Rattus norvegicus: one gene and its partners. The protein of the gene in region 1 interacts with the protein of each later gene in a pairwise test. Links are inferred from orthologs where the notes say so. Each region holds a gene or a part of one and is shown in the gene's direction. Other genes may lie near its edges.

Region 1 (4,623 bases):
GGGAATGAGAGATAAGGGATATGAGGAAAGGAGGATAGGTGCAAAGCGTAATGGATTATTTCTGGTTGTTTTCCCTTTGTGAGATAGGTTGGGTTTTTTTTTTGTTTGTTTGTTTTTTGTTTTTTTGTTTTTTTGTTTTTTTTTTTTTTTTTGGAGCGGAGGACCGACTCAGGGCCTTGCGCTTGCTAGGCAAGCGCTCTACCACTGAGCTAAATCCCCAACCCAGTGAGATAGAATTTTTATGTTGCACAGGCCGGCCTCACCTTTCTGGGTTCAGGTGACCTTTCTGCCTCCTGAGAAGCTGATCCCCAGGGTTTGTTTGGGTTTTAGAATAGGTCGAGGTAGGAAAATTTAGGCATAAGTGAGGGAAATATTTGGCAACAGGAGTACTTTAGATTGTCACTAGGATGCGGTGTTGGGACATAACTTGAAAGGTATTATTGGAAGGGGCTGGCCTGGTCCAGTGCAGGGACTGAGAGATGGCTGCAGGATTCTGGGGACTTGATGGAACTGGGAAGGGCCAACACTTGGGACAGTTGAGAAGTTGCTGGAACCCGGATCGGTCTGGGTCTTGTTCAGAGCTGGAACTGAGATAGATGGTGGGTGGACCAAAATGGCGCTGGAACAGGGACGAGGTGGTGCTGGGCACAACTAGCAGGTTGCAGGGACCAGGATGGAGCTGGATGGCAGCTGATTCTGGAAATAGGAGTGACATTTTGTGATGGACAGAGGTCAGTGGAGTCTGTCTCAGCAGCTCCTCCTAGTGGAGCAGTTGCTCAAATCCTTGCAAGGAATTAAAAAAAAAAAAAAAAAAGTCTTACAAAGTAGCTTCCGCTGGCTTACTTTTCAAAACTGACAGATCAGCCTCAGCCTACTTCAAGTGCAGGGATTAAAGATGTGCTCAACCACACCCAGCAAAAGGGGCTGTCTTTAGATTCTTGAGCAGACTCAGAATTGCTACAGCCTGCATGGGCAGGGACATTCAGGACAGACCATATTAAATATTGCTCTGCCTTGCCTTGAACAGATCAGTGGGCAGGAACCAGCATTCCTGCACTGCCTGTCTGCATAGAGCCAGAAGACTGTGAGGATCAAGCACCAGTACCAGGAAAGTCATCATCTCAGCACTTCAGTAGGGTAGGTACTACACAGAAAACAGCGGGGTGAGCATCTATTTTGGGAGTAGCCTTTAACTGTAGCAAAGAGCTGGTTCAACGTGTTTCCTGCCAAGATTCACAGACCGCAGGGTAGGGCCATACCTGGGATGACAGTTGTCTGTTTACTTTCTGGGGTTATTTTTGCTTTTAATTCCAGATTCCATACTATGTAAACCCATACGCTTGATTTATCAGCCCTCCTCAGTCTCTGCCCTATCCTGCTGTCCATACCTGTGGCTAAGATGCTTTATTACTTGGAGGACCATGACAGCACCTGTTGTCCTTCAAAGGCCTTAATCTATTGTAGAAGCCCAGATTTACACTGTTCCTCTGTCCATGCCTACACTTTAGCTTGTCATATGTTCTTTGCACCCAGCACTGTGATCACATCTGCTGAGTTCCAGTCATCTTTCTTACCTGTTGAGCACTTCTTCAGGAGGAGGAGAGTTTTCTATGTGCTGCCAGTCTTGGACCTAATAAGGAATGGGCTAAATCCAATACAGCACTACGTGGGTGGCAGAGTGTTCTCCTGTTCTGTCCTCCACTGGGTCTTTTCCAGTACTCTCAGGTATGCTCTTTGCCTCCTGACATTGGCATTTTCCCTCCAGGTACTTGCAGAATATGGAGTAGCGTCCCTGGACTTTCAAGGAGGTTGCTGCAACTGGAGGTCAGCAGGGTTCAGTGAGGTTCCGGAAACTTTCTGTGATTGCACAAGACTGAATGTCTGGGAGGAGGAAAGGTGATGGGAATCATTAAGTACCACCTTAACTTCATTTGCATTTCAGGTTGTGGAAACCAGGACATCACTGCCTTTCTGTATGGCATTGGTTTAGAATCTTTGAGTGCTAGTGTTAGGTCTGCCCATAGAGGGAGGGAACAATGGCTGTAGCTCTATTAGATGACTGGTGTAAGGGGATGGATCTGGACCCCAGGAAGGCTGTACTCATTGTGGGCATCCCCGTACAGTGCACTGAAGCTGAGATAAAGGATGCTCTGAAAGAAGGCTTACCTCCTTTGTGTGCACACAAGGTGATAGGCAGAATGTTCAGGAGGGAAGATGAAGCTAAGGCAGTCTTAATTGAACTGACTGAAGTTGTCGATTATACTATGATGCCTACTCATATACCAGCAGAGGGTGGGGCCTGGGAAGTGGTTGTCAAACCCCGTAGCCCAGATGATGAGTTTATCAATAAGTTGATCTACTTTCTGAGAGATGAAGGGCGGAGAATGGTAGATGTGGCCAAAGCCCTGGGGTTTAGCACTGTCCCTACAGGGAGAATGGAGCTAAAGAATTTAGACCAAGACAAACCAAAAGGCTTGAAGTCTCTGTGCAGTAATGGCACATGTTACCAAAAACTAAAAGTGTTTTCTGGCAGTCCCTTTCCCGGCCCAGGAGAAGAAAGCTTTGAGACCTGGTTAGAGGAGGTCACTGAGCTGATGCACTTATGGCAGGTGTCTGAGAGTGAGAAGAAGCAGCGCCTTGTGGAGAGTCTGCGTGGCTCTGCCCTGTCAATCATGCAGGCACTGTGGGCTAGCAATGACTCCCTAACTGTGGAGCAGTGTTTGAAAGCCCTAAAGCACATCTTTGGGAATAAAGAGGACTGTAAGGTCTTCCAGTTCAGGTTCCTTCAATCTTCTCAGAAACCTGCAGAGAAGATATCTGATTACTTGCTACGCTTAGAGCCCCTGCTGCAAAAAGCAGTACAGCAGAGCCCATTGTCAACACACAGTGCAGATTCAATTCGTCTCAAGCATATCTTATCTAGGGTCTCCATGACCACTGGCCTTCGGGGCAAACTATCTCTCTTAGATCAGCAAGGGTGCCCACCTACTTTTCTGGAATTAATGAAACTCACTCGAGATGAGGAAGAGTGGGAGACCACTATGGTAGGGAAGGAGCAGAATCAGGCAGAAAAGGAAAACAGGACACGTGAGACAGCAGATCAAGTTGTTACCCAGGAGGAGTACTTTAGGGAGATCAGCACCCAGACCATAGGAGAGGAGATCACATCAGTGAAACGGAGGCGACTGCTATGGAGACAGAGTACTGGAGAAGAGGAACATATGAGGGAATCAGGTTTCTGGGCTGAAAATGAATCAGATGAGGAGAAACCCTTTGTTACAATACAGGAATCGGGAAACGAGAGAGGGGCTTGGGCTATGAGCCACCCCAACCCCAAGGAAATATAGGCTCAGGACATGCAGGAATTCCTTCCTCTGGCAGGCAACAGAGATACTGTGACAAAATCATGGGGCAGCCCAGGCAAAGAGCAGGGGACATGGGTGTTGCAGAAGAGCAGCGGGGCCAGGGTAAAGCCCCCAACTTCTTACTACTTAGAAATGATTACAACAAGCAAGGGCAAGTTCCATGCAGCTCAGTGACAACCAAATGCCAGGCCCACAGGGAGTGTCAGAGACAGAACTGGGGAGCTAATATGATAAGCAGACTACAGGGTCATCCAGACTGTAGTTGGCATACTAGTGGGTCACAAGATGGTGACGCTGGGTGCTCTGAGCTAAGGATGCCCACCAGCACTGAAGCAGCACAGGGCATAAAGGAGCCCGCCACGGGGTTGTCTTGGGCAGAGGACACCAGTGCCTGGGAGCAAGTACAGCTAGGGAGGGAGGGAGTACCCAGGAGAGGAGGCCGCAGGATCCAGCCTGTCTTCAGGATCATCTACACTGCTCTAGGGGAGCCCCATGAGGGCAGCACCCTTGAGTCCTTCCGTGAGTGAACTCCCCCCACCCCCGTGAAACCCCCAATCTCCAGACCCACCAAAGGATGGGGGGATGGGGGCTAGGCAGTGCCAACGCAGGGCAGTTTCCCTCTTGGCACCTGACAGGACACCAGTGCCTGAGAAGAGCCCCAGGCTGGGGCACATGGCACCATAGGGTTAATGCCCTCAGCTGGCCTGAGAGCCTGGGAGTGTGCAGGGCAGATTTTGTGCGAACAAACAGGAGATGGAAGAACATCAGGAGGAGGACTCTGTGTGTGTCGGGGTTGGGCTTGGGGGGGGGGGGGCGTAGTTTGTTCTTCTCCCTTTTGTCCAGGGCTGCTGGAGAATTCCAGAGAGCAAGCAGGGAGAGCCAGTGAATTCAACTCTGCCAAGGCTGGCCCCAAACCCTGCCGAGCTGAGGGGTGGTCTGGCGGCATTACCAGAGCGCCATCCTCCATCTGCCATCCATACCAAACGCGTGGACGTTCCAGAAGAGGCCATCTCGAGGGTTCTGCCTACTGCCTGGCTCTCCCAATACGGACGCCCCTTCCCCTTCCCATTACTGTCCAGAGGCTGTACCCCCTGCTCTGGAACCCCGCCTTCTTACCTGCTAAGCTCATAGTGACCCAGTTGCCCAGTGAGTCCCTTCCCCCACTGTGTGCTTACCCACCATTGGCTGCTCCTGTACAAAGCCGTGAGTGAGGTGTGTGTGTTAAGGAGGGTAAGTGGATGCTATGCTCCCACCAGTT
Region 2 (4,738 bases), on another chromosome or scaffold:
GCAAAAGAAGCCTGAAAACTGGGAGTAATATCTATGTAGAAAGATGTCACCAGAGGACATATAGAAGCAGGTCTTTTTTTTTTTTTTTTTTTTTTTTTTTCCGGAGCTGGGGACCGAACCCAGGGCCTTGCACTCGCTAGGCAAGCGCTCTACCACTGAGCTAAATCCCCAACCCCGCAGGTCTTTCTTTTAGTGGGAAAAGAAGGAGCCTTGAGAATCCTCCAATATGTTGGGCCAGCAAGATGGCTCAGTGGGTATAGGGGCTTGCTGCCAAGCCTGAGGACCTGAGTTTGATTTCTTCCGACCTAAATGGTGGGAAAACGGAAAACTGCAAGTTGTCCTCTGCCCTCCACACTTACACACACACACACACACACACACACACACACACACACACACACACACGCACGCCCACACGCATGCACGCACGCACAAATAAATGTAATATTTTTTTAATATTTAGAAAACAGGGTGTTAGTACAGAGATGGATTGGGGGGGGCAACCTGCACACATCTACAGTTCCTTGTCTGAACAAAAATTTTTTGGGGTGGGTAGAAAATCTCCATCTTCCCTCGAAGTGTCGTCCCAGGACACACTCCAAAAAGAGAGGTAGTCATTAACATGACACCCAAAGGAGACAACATGCTAAAACCAGATCTCATTTCGAGTCGAAATTAGATTGAAAAATTAATCTGTAGACGGAAGATTTATAACCGGTTAATAAAGGGGTTGAGGCTATTGGGGTAGATTCTCCATCTTCCTGATCGTTGCCATGGAGATGTCCAACAACCCTTAGAGAAAAACGGTACTTGGAGGGTAAAACAGTATTTCCTAAGTACGACTTCTCAGTACCTCGATCCTCACAAGCAGAAAGAGTAAGACCCGAAGGAGGGATTACATCACGAAGTTCAGTTAGCGGAAGAGAGGGAAACTCTGATCAATCAACTGCTATTCATACAATAGTTCCCCGCCCTGGGGTCTGGCCGGAGCTATCGTCTAAGAAATTGGGATCCTAAGGGAACAAGGAGGGGGCTAACCACCCTGGGTGCCATTGAGGTCTCAAAAATGGTCTCCATAATTACATGAGACCTTACTTAAGACTAATGTATATAAATGTTATGGTTTCTCCTTCCCTCTCCCCTCCAGGAAAACCCCAGAACCTCAGCCCATCAAAGGCAACAGTCCCATCTCCTTCTTCCCATTCCCAGCAGGTCTTTTTCTTTTTTTCTTTTCTATTTTCTTTTCTTTCCTTTTTTTTTTTTTTTTTTTTTTTTTTTACCTGGTTCTCTGCCTCCGGGGAGTAGGAACTTTCAGCCCCGCCTTCCTGCCCATCTAAGCCCCGCCTTCCCGGCCCACCTGTGTGCCCAGCCCATGACGTTGCCGCGGGGCTTCAGCGGCCGGCAGGATCCCGGATCCTTATTGGTCCATCCGCTCACCGGCCTGCACAGCCCACCAATGGCAACGGCGCTGGGCGGGGGGAGTGCCCACATCCAAGATGGCGCCCCCAGGAGCTGGGAGCGGGTGACCGGCGGCGGGGAAGCGGCCTGGGCTGGCCCTCAGATTGCGGGGTCCCGGGGGCCTGTCGCGGGGCGCCCCCGTGACCCACTGACCAGGCCTTCCCCCGGGCCAGAGCGATGGCCGCCGAGAACAGCAAGCAGTTCTGGAAGAGGAGCGCCAAGCTGCCGGGGAGGTGAGTCCAGGACGCTGAGGGGAGTGGGGATTGGACCCAAAGCCTTCCAGATCTTGATCTCTGAATCCCGCCGTCTTGGGGCGCCCCCGAGGCCGGAGGGCTGGTGTCGGGGTAGCCCAGGCTAGAGCAGCTGTCAATCAGAGGAGCCTGGCCAGCTTGGGTGTGGGGTGCAGTCTAGGGTCTGGGGGCGGGGAACCTCAGCTTGGAGGTGTCAGGGAGCCCGGTGTGAGGGGCAGAGGAGTTGGGCGAGTTGACATTGTCAGTCTGGCCTTGGAGGGCCACCTGCAGACCGCTTTCGACTTTGTACCGAACTACTCAGGGGTCTCCAACAGCATGGGTGGCTGCCTGCATGAGGGTGGATGGCCCCATGGCCTTGGGTCCCAGTCCATCACCTTCCTGTTTTCTTTTTGTACTCCCCAGGGGTTCTGATGGGGCAGGCCTGCAGGGTATGAGCAAGGGAAAGTGAGGGGGAATTCTCAAGCCTGACCTTACTTTGTCTTGAGTTGGTCCTTTCTCATTAGAAATTATTACAGGGTGGCCACAGGGTGGAGAGTAAGTTACTTCTGACATTTTCTAATCACTTGCGCAATCCCTGAGAAGTGATGTGCTTTTAGTGTAGATGCATTAAATTCTCTGAATCCTCAGTTTTGTTGGAGAGCAGGCCTCCTGAGTGACTGACTTATTTTCTTAGTGTTTCTTTCTCTTCTTGGTGTATGTTGACATTCTGAACAATTGTCTGTCTGTCAGTCAGCCTTTGGATTACTGGCTCAGTTTGTTTTGGGTGGTGTCCTGAAAAGTGAAAGCCCTATGTGTTTTCACTACTGGGTTTAAGATTTCTGCCAGTCACAGGCTGCTTGGTGTTAGAATTTGTGTCTGATCATGGCCCTCAAGTGTTATCTTTCCTTAGTGATTTGCCTGTAAGTCTTTTTGTTCAGGTGTACTCCTTTGACTTGTGACCTCGATCTCTTACCCTCCTCCTTTCTCTCCCCCCTCTCTCTCCTCCCCTTCTTCCTCCCTCTCTTCTTTCTCCCTCTTTCCTTCTCTCCATCTCTCTCCACACTATTGAGGACGCTCTACCACTGAGCTGCACACAGCCCCCTCTCTTTAAGTGAAAGAGAACCGAGAGTCAACCTTGGCTGTGTAACTTTTCTGAGCTGTCATTAGACACGTGGAGAAAGTTTAGGGACCAGGTTTTAGCAACTCGTATTAATATAATACCAGGGGAGGCAAGGGTAGCTTTGGTTTGAAGTGCTGTGGGGGTTAACGGTGTTCACACATTGAACAGTGACACCGTGTTTTTAGATAAGCTCCGCTTCCTGCCACTGATTTCTTTTTCCTTCCTGCTTGAGCGAGCTCTCCAGTCGCGCTGACTGCTCTTCTCTGGGAGTTTGCTACAGAGGGATCATGACAGTTTGATATCCTGAGATAATAATCGGTGGGGGGAAAAACTGGTTACGTCAGGAAGCAGGGGTGAGGGCAGTGGGAGATGGGCGATCTTTGTGCCTTTGGACGGCCAGATGTGGTGCACTAATGGTCTTTTGTTTCCTTTATTTCTTCTACTGGCCTATGGGAAGTCAACTTTTTAAAAAGTACTACTTTAAATAATTACATTTATTTATCTGTTTAATTAGTGTGTGTGTGTGTGTGTGTGTGTGTGTGTGTGTGTCTCCAAGGGTGTGCACTTGTGCATGTCACAGTGTTCAAGTGGAGGTCAGAGGAGGACAATTTACAAGAGTCAGTTCTCTCCTTCCACCATGCGGATCTCAGGGATTGAACTCAGGTCATCAGGCTTAGGGGGAAGCATCTTTATCTGCTGAGCTGTCTTGACGGCCCAAAAGCATTACTTTTGCTGGAGTAGGTGGACTCTTCAGTTTCTCCAAAGCTCTGGCTTCCTCTTTTCATTTTGAAACGTGGAGCCTTGGCGGCGAGAATTTTGGAGTCCGGGTCATCATGATTTATCATTGTTGTTATTATTTTACTTTTATCATCATCGTCGTTCAGATCCTCTTACCTGCAGGAGTCGCAGTCTACCTCAGCTTCAGTTTCCTTCATAGGGGAATAAAATCTCTTCCCTCAGAATCATCCGAAGGCTAACGGGAATGCCCTATTTGTATAGAACCCATTGTAAAGAACCTAGGACAGCGTTTATTTGCTACACAGTACTTGCTCCATAAATAGTCATTATTAATTACCCCCTCGTTATTAGAGCAAGCAAACATTTAAAAGGATGTTTCTCAGCTCCCAGGACTAGTTATTTGTCTTTTTTATTATGGAGGCATAAAAATGTTGCCATGATCCATAAACCACGATCCATACCTTGCCTGGCCAGGGGAGTGTTATCCCCTGTACACGCTCGTCAGAGAGCCCCAGAGCTCAGGGCTGTTGGGAAAAGCTGCTGTTCGTTCCCATAGAAGGCATTTTGGTTCCAGAACAGAACTTTTACATCTGAACTCTTCCCAGTCTGTGGAAGAGGCGTTTCCTCGTGATTCAGCCGATGAACTAGCTAGTGCCAGGTCCTCAGAAGTGTAGAAAGAAAGTTACTTTTCTCTTCTTTGCAGTTTGAAAGGTGAGAAAAGTGTAAATTGTAGCTGGTTACTTTCAGTTTCTTTGATCAGGATGGAGAGACCTTAGTGACAGCTGGAGTAGAAATTTTGTTCGAGCCTACAGCCTACATTCCAAAAAACAACAACAACAACAACAACAAAAAAAACAAAAAACAAAACAAAACCCAAAGTGGGCCAGAGAGATGGCTCAGCTGTTAAGAGCACTGGCTGCTCTTCCAGAGGTCCTGAGTTCAATTCCCAGCAGCCAGTAGTAGTTCCGTAATGGGATCTGATGCCCTCTTCAGTCATGCAGGTGTACATGCAGATAGAGCACTCATAGACATAGAAATACATGAATAAATAAACCTTTAAAAGAATAAAAACCCAAAGCATTCTTTAAATTTTGTTTTTTTGTCACTATATAGCCCTGGTTGTCCAGGAACTCAACTATGTAGACCAAGGCTGGCCTTGAACTCTTTTCTATTTTTTTATTTTTCGGAGCTG
Region 3 (4,831 bases), on another chromosome or scaffold:
TTTTTTTATTTTTATTGTTATCTGAACTGTTTATAATTTTGAGTTGAGATAGTATAGTCCCCCACCAGCCATTTACCTCTACTCCTTAGTTTCTTTCCCAGAGTTATTGAGGAGTGAATCAGAACCTTTCCAGTGACATACACACAGACAGGAAGTTAGTTATGGAAAATGTTTTCTCCCATGCTTAAAAGTAAAATAACAGCTCAGCTCCTTTCACATAGTTTTCTTTATGTATATTCTGCCTCTTACTGTGTCGCAGCAGTATATTGCAGTTTTTAATAAAGCAGGTTCTTTTGTCAATAATAATGTTATCATTGTTATATTTAGACTTTCTTTGCATATATAGTTGTTGTATATCATCTATTTAACCAGCAGGACATCCAGGTCTCTCCAGAACTCCTCCTTGTTAATGTTCCTTAACCTTCCTCTGCAGTTGTTGTCAGTAGCTCTCTCTCAGGGCTGCTCTAACCTGTGGGTCATGTTTCCTTTTAGGGACTGTGGGGAATTTGGCCTTTGGAGCTTTCTGCCCCTTACTAGCAGTGTGATCTTGGGTGTCCGTCATTCAGTCCTGACTTGTAAAGGGAACCTAATATTCCTTTGCTTGGGAAGTTCTGTTAAGAATAGAATGGGTTAAAGTGCCTAACACACAGGAAGCACTGTAATGGGTTATCTATCTTTATTATATCATCATGAGTTGCTCACCTGTCTGCTACCCATGCTATTGCTAATCTCTTGATGGTTACCCCAGCCTCAATCATTGACCTCAGACCTTGGTCTCTGGCTCTAGAAGAAGCCTCATTCTCACTTTCAGAATCTGCTCTTTCAAAGCTTGTTCTCCCAGTTCCCTAGTGTGTTAGGGTTTCATTGCTGTGAGGGGACACCATGGTCATGGCAACTCTTGTAAAGGACATTTAATTGGTGCTGGCTTACAGTTTCGTTCAGTCCGTTATCGTAGCAGGAAGCATGGCAGCCTGCAGACTGACATTGGTTCTTTAGAAGGTGCTGAGAGTTCTACATGTTGATCCAAAAGCAGCCAGGAGGATTTCACACAGGGCGGAGCTTGAGCATAGGAGACCTCAAAGCCCACCTACACAGTGATGCACTTCCTCTAACAAGTCCACACCTATGACCAAGCATTGAAATGCATGAATCTACGGGGAGCCAAACATATTCTAACTACCACACTTAGTGACACCCATTGAATTGCAGCTGCCTTCCTCCCCAAAGCACCAGGCTCTTTGCACAGCTAGGGCAAAGGTGGTAGTGAAGAATAGCCCCCACCTGCCTGAAACTGACTTTCCTGTGTCTTTTTTTTTTTTTTTCTTTTCTTTTGTTCAGAGCTGGGGACCGAACCCAGGGCCTTGCGCTTGCTAGGCAAGCGCTCTACCACTGAGCTAAATCCTCAACCCCTTTTCCTGTGTCTTTGTTGCTTACAGTTACAGTTACACAGTCTGTTGTGGCCAGGACTTACTTGCATATCCTCATGCAGGATTTTCCCCTTGAGGCCCATTTACCAGGTCTTCCTTTTCTTACCACAGAGAATCTGCATCCTGGTGTGTATGAAATCAGGTTGTAGGTTCTTTCTAATGAGCTCCCAGACCCTTATAAATAAGGGTATAGCTTGACATCTGTGACGGCTAAGTCCCACAAACATTTCATGACAGTCAGGAGGCCAGTGTCTCCGGAATGCCAGAGGATCTCAGAAGAAAATGGACAGTTCTAGTCCAGGTAGGATGCCCATCAGGCTGGAGAGATAGATGACTGAGGCTCACAACCAGATAGGGTGCCCTGTTATTCCCACTTATAGGTAACGTTACAACCCTGTTTTCACTAAGTTATCTCAAGTAACTCCGAGTCACAGCATTAGAAACGTGATCTAAAGGTGGGGTAGAGCTCAGTAGTAGTGTTTCTGGGTAGACAAAGCCCCAGGTGCTTTAAACCAAAGGAGAGTAGGAGTGGGGCTCGCCTAGCATGGGCAAGGCCCTGGGTTTGATAAGGTACACATACAGGAAATTGAAACATGGTCACGTGGAAAAGCACGAGCATTTCTCTCCCTTATACAAATCACCTTCTACCTTGCTTAAAAAGACTGTCTTACTGTCCAGTAGAGTTTATCTCAGTGTCATAATTAAGGGATTTAATGTTAGATAGCGAAGTCAACTGTGTTGAATATTTTCATTTAAAATGAGGCCTTAATGCTCTAGGTTTGTGGGAAATGTAACCAGGTTTGTGTATAAATATATGTGTGTGTGTGTGTGTGTGTGTGTGTGTGTGTGTGTATATGTATATACATACATATGTGTGTGCATATGTATATATGTCTGTATGTATATAAAAATCTATATATTCCAAACATATATTTATGTTGGTTTTTCTCAGAGCCACAATGGATACTGCTAGCCATAGCCTTGTGCTTCTGCAGCAGCTGAACATGCAGCGAGAATTTGGTTTTCTGTGTGACTGCACAGTTGCTATTGGAGACGTTTACTTCAAAGCCCACCGAGCAGTACTTGCTGCTTTTTCTAACTATTTCAAGATGATTTTTATTCACCAAACAAGGTAAGAAGCAGCTTTTGTAAATGAGAAGAATTTTTTAATATTGTGATATATATGCCTTATAATATCATTCAAGGCAGTGGTTTTTCAACCTTTCTAATGCTGAGACCTTTAATACAGTCCCTCGTGTTGTGGTAACCCCCAACCTTAAAATTATTTTGTTGCCATTTCATAGCTGTAACTTTGCTAACTGTTAAGAATCATAATGTAAATAACTGATATGTAGGATATCTGATAGTTGACCCATGAAAGGATTATTTGATCCCAGACGGGTTTCAACCCACAGGTTGAAAATCATTGGTTTAAGGGCTTATTATTGGGTTATCCTAATAGAAATTTTTATTTTATTTATTATATGTAAGTACATTGTAGCTGTCTTCCGACACACCAGAGGGCATCAGATCCCATTACAGATGGTTGTGAGCCACCATGTGGTTGCTGGGAATTGAACTCAGGACCTCTGGAAGAGCAGTCAGTGCTCTTAACCACTGAGCCATCTCTCCAGCCCCCACAAATTTTTAATTATAATAACACACACATGCACACATATACACATATATATTTCAGTATTAAGCTCAGTACATGGTATCTGTGGTAGAACATACTTAATGAAAACATGTATAACTCAACTTGATTAAAGGCTTAGCCCAGTCCAGTGTGGGGCTGCATTCCTTTCATCTTACCTCAGGTGGCAGAGGGAAGGGGATCTCTGAGTTTGAGGACAACTTGTCTACATGGTGAGTTCTAGGCCAATCAAGGCTACCTAATGAGATCAAACCCTCTACCAACAAAAAAGTCTTAACTAATACCCAAGCATCAAATCCTATCATGTAAATTGCACTGTTATCCTGGTGTTAGGGAAAAGGCAACTGAGACTGAGCTGTTAAATGGCCCATGCAGGGTTAAATAACTGATCAGCTGGGCTCAAGTATAACTAACTCTGAAGCTAAACTGTGTACTTAAGCACGAGGCTGTTGATTTCTGTGTAGCATCCTTTCAGTGTCACATTGTACCGTCACATACTGAACATCACCAGTAACAGAGTATTTGTTTCACATTGTTTTGGTTTTGTGTTTTTTTAATTCTTTTTGCATTTTTTGAATTTAGATATGGGAATTCAAATTCTGAGCTCTGGGAAAAGATTAATTTAGTCTAGTCTAGGCTTAGACAATTCTAGAATGTTGCTTGCTTATTTATTTATTATTTTTTATAAATTTTGAGATAGAGTCTCACTAAGTTGTCCAAACTGCCCTTGAACTTACTCTGTAGCCCAGGAGGACCTTGAACTTGTGATCTTCCTGCCTCAGCTTTCAGTAGCTAGAACCATAGGCCCAAGCCACCAGGCTTGGTTCCCTGTGTACTGGGTGGGTTGTTGTTTTGTTTGTTTTTAAAGGACCTTACATGAAACTGAGGAGTCAAATCCCAATTATATATTTATTTAACTGTTCAAACATTTAAATATTTCCTAAGTACATATATATTAGAGGTTGAGCTACAGTACAGTCATAAGTAACTTATACTCTGCCTTCGAGAAATCTATAGCCTGATAGAGAGTCAGATGTAAACAAATAGTTGAGCTGTCTGGTGGTAGTCACTCCTGGTGCTGTGACAAAATGCCTAAGAAAACAAGGATTTGTTGTGCTTACAGTCACAAGCTTTAGCCCACTTGCAGCTGGCCTGCTCTCCATTACTTTTAAGACTGGGAAGACAAAGATAGCATGAGAGAAAGGGTAACAGAAAAGCTACCCACTTCAAGCTAGGCAGGAGAAAGCAGGAACAGTGCAGTGACCAGGGACTGGATAACAGCCCTGGCAGGTGTACTCTTGGTGACTCTTCTTCCACCTTGGCCCCATTTCCTAGTGTTTCCCACCTCCAAGTAATTCAGTCACATGACATGTGACTTCTTGAGTGGTGAGCACACTGGTGAAACCAGAGACCTTGTGATCTAGTCACTTCCCCAAAGCCCGTCAGATGGCCACCATGGTTGTGAGATTGTACACCTGAGCCTCCAGGGAACATTTCACCTTCAAACCCTAACACTCAGCTCTCTTGTCTGTTAAATGCTACAGTATATACTCTCCTTTTGGGTACTAAAAGATTAAGTGGATTAATGCCATTAAAATGTTTAGAACAGAGCTTTGCTCTTGGTAATGTGGTGTCAGACATCAAGGTGTACTCAGAGTAGAAGAGTTCTAGCAGGCCCATTTTGAGAAGTGTGAAACAGACTTTACAAATCTGAAAAGTGAAGAGTCTTTCAGAGGTTGCAGACAAATAT

Evidence for each region. The genes of interacting proteins can lie anywhere in the genome.
Region 2: the proteins of Pnma5 (region 1) and Tbc1d22b interact in binary tests that used the Homo sapiens proteins (3 or more experiments, as listed by UniProt). The link is inferred for Rattus norvegicus from reciprocal best matches to the Homo sapiens genes PNMA5 and TBC1D22B.
Region 3: the proteins of Pnma5 (region 1) and Zbtb25 interact in binary tests that used the Homo sapiens proteins (3 or more experiments, as listed by UniProt). The two-hybrid records come from large-scale screens. The link is inferred for Rattus norvegicus from reciprocal best matches to the Homo sapiens genes PNMA5 and ZBTB25.

Annotation. Positions count from the first base shown.
Region 1 is NC_086039.1:155,922,469-155,927,091, reverse strand, and holds Pnma5 (paraneoplastic antigen-like protein 5), read left to right. Parts: upstream 1-2,036; coding exon 2,037-3,347; 3' UTR 3,348-3,961; downstream 3,962-4,623.
Region 2 is NC_086038.1:7,619,226-7,623,963, forward strand, and holds the start of Tbc1d22b (TBC1 domain family member 22B), read left to right. Parts: upstream 1-1,600; 5' UTR 1,601-1,635; coding exon 1,636-1,691; intron 1,692-4,738. Other genes in the region: Tmem217 (transmembrane protein 217), read right to left, coding at 1,281-1,333. UniProt on the Homo sapiens protein: May act as a GTPase-activating protein for Rab family protein(s).
Region 3 is NC_086024.1:100,816,555-100,821,385, reverse strand, and holds the start of Zbtb25 (zinc finger and BTB domain-containing protein 25), read left to right. Parts: upstream 1-1,693; 5' UTR 1,694-1,728; intron 1,729-2,379; 5' UTR 2,380-2,386; coding exon 2,387-2,559; intron 2,560-4,831. UniProt on the Homo sapiens protein: May be involved in transcriptional regulation.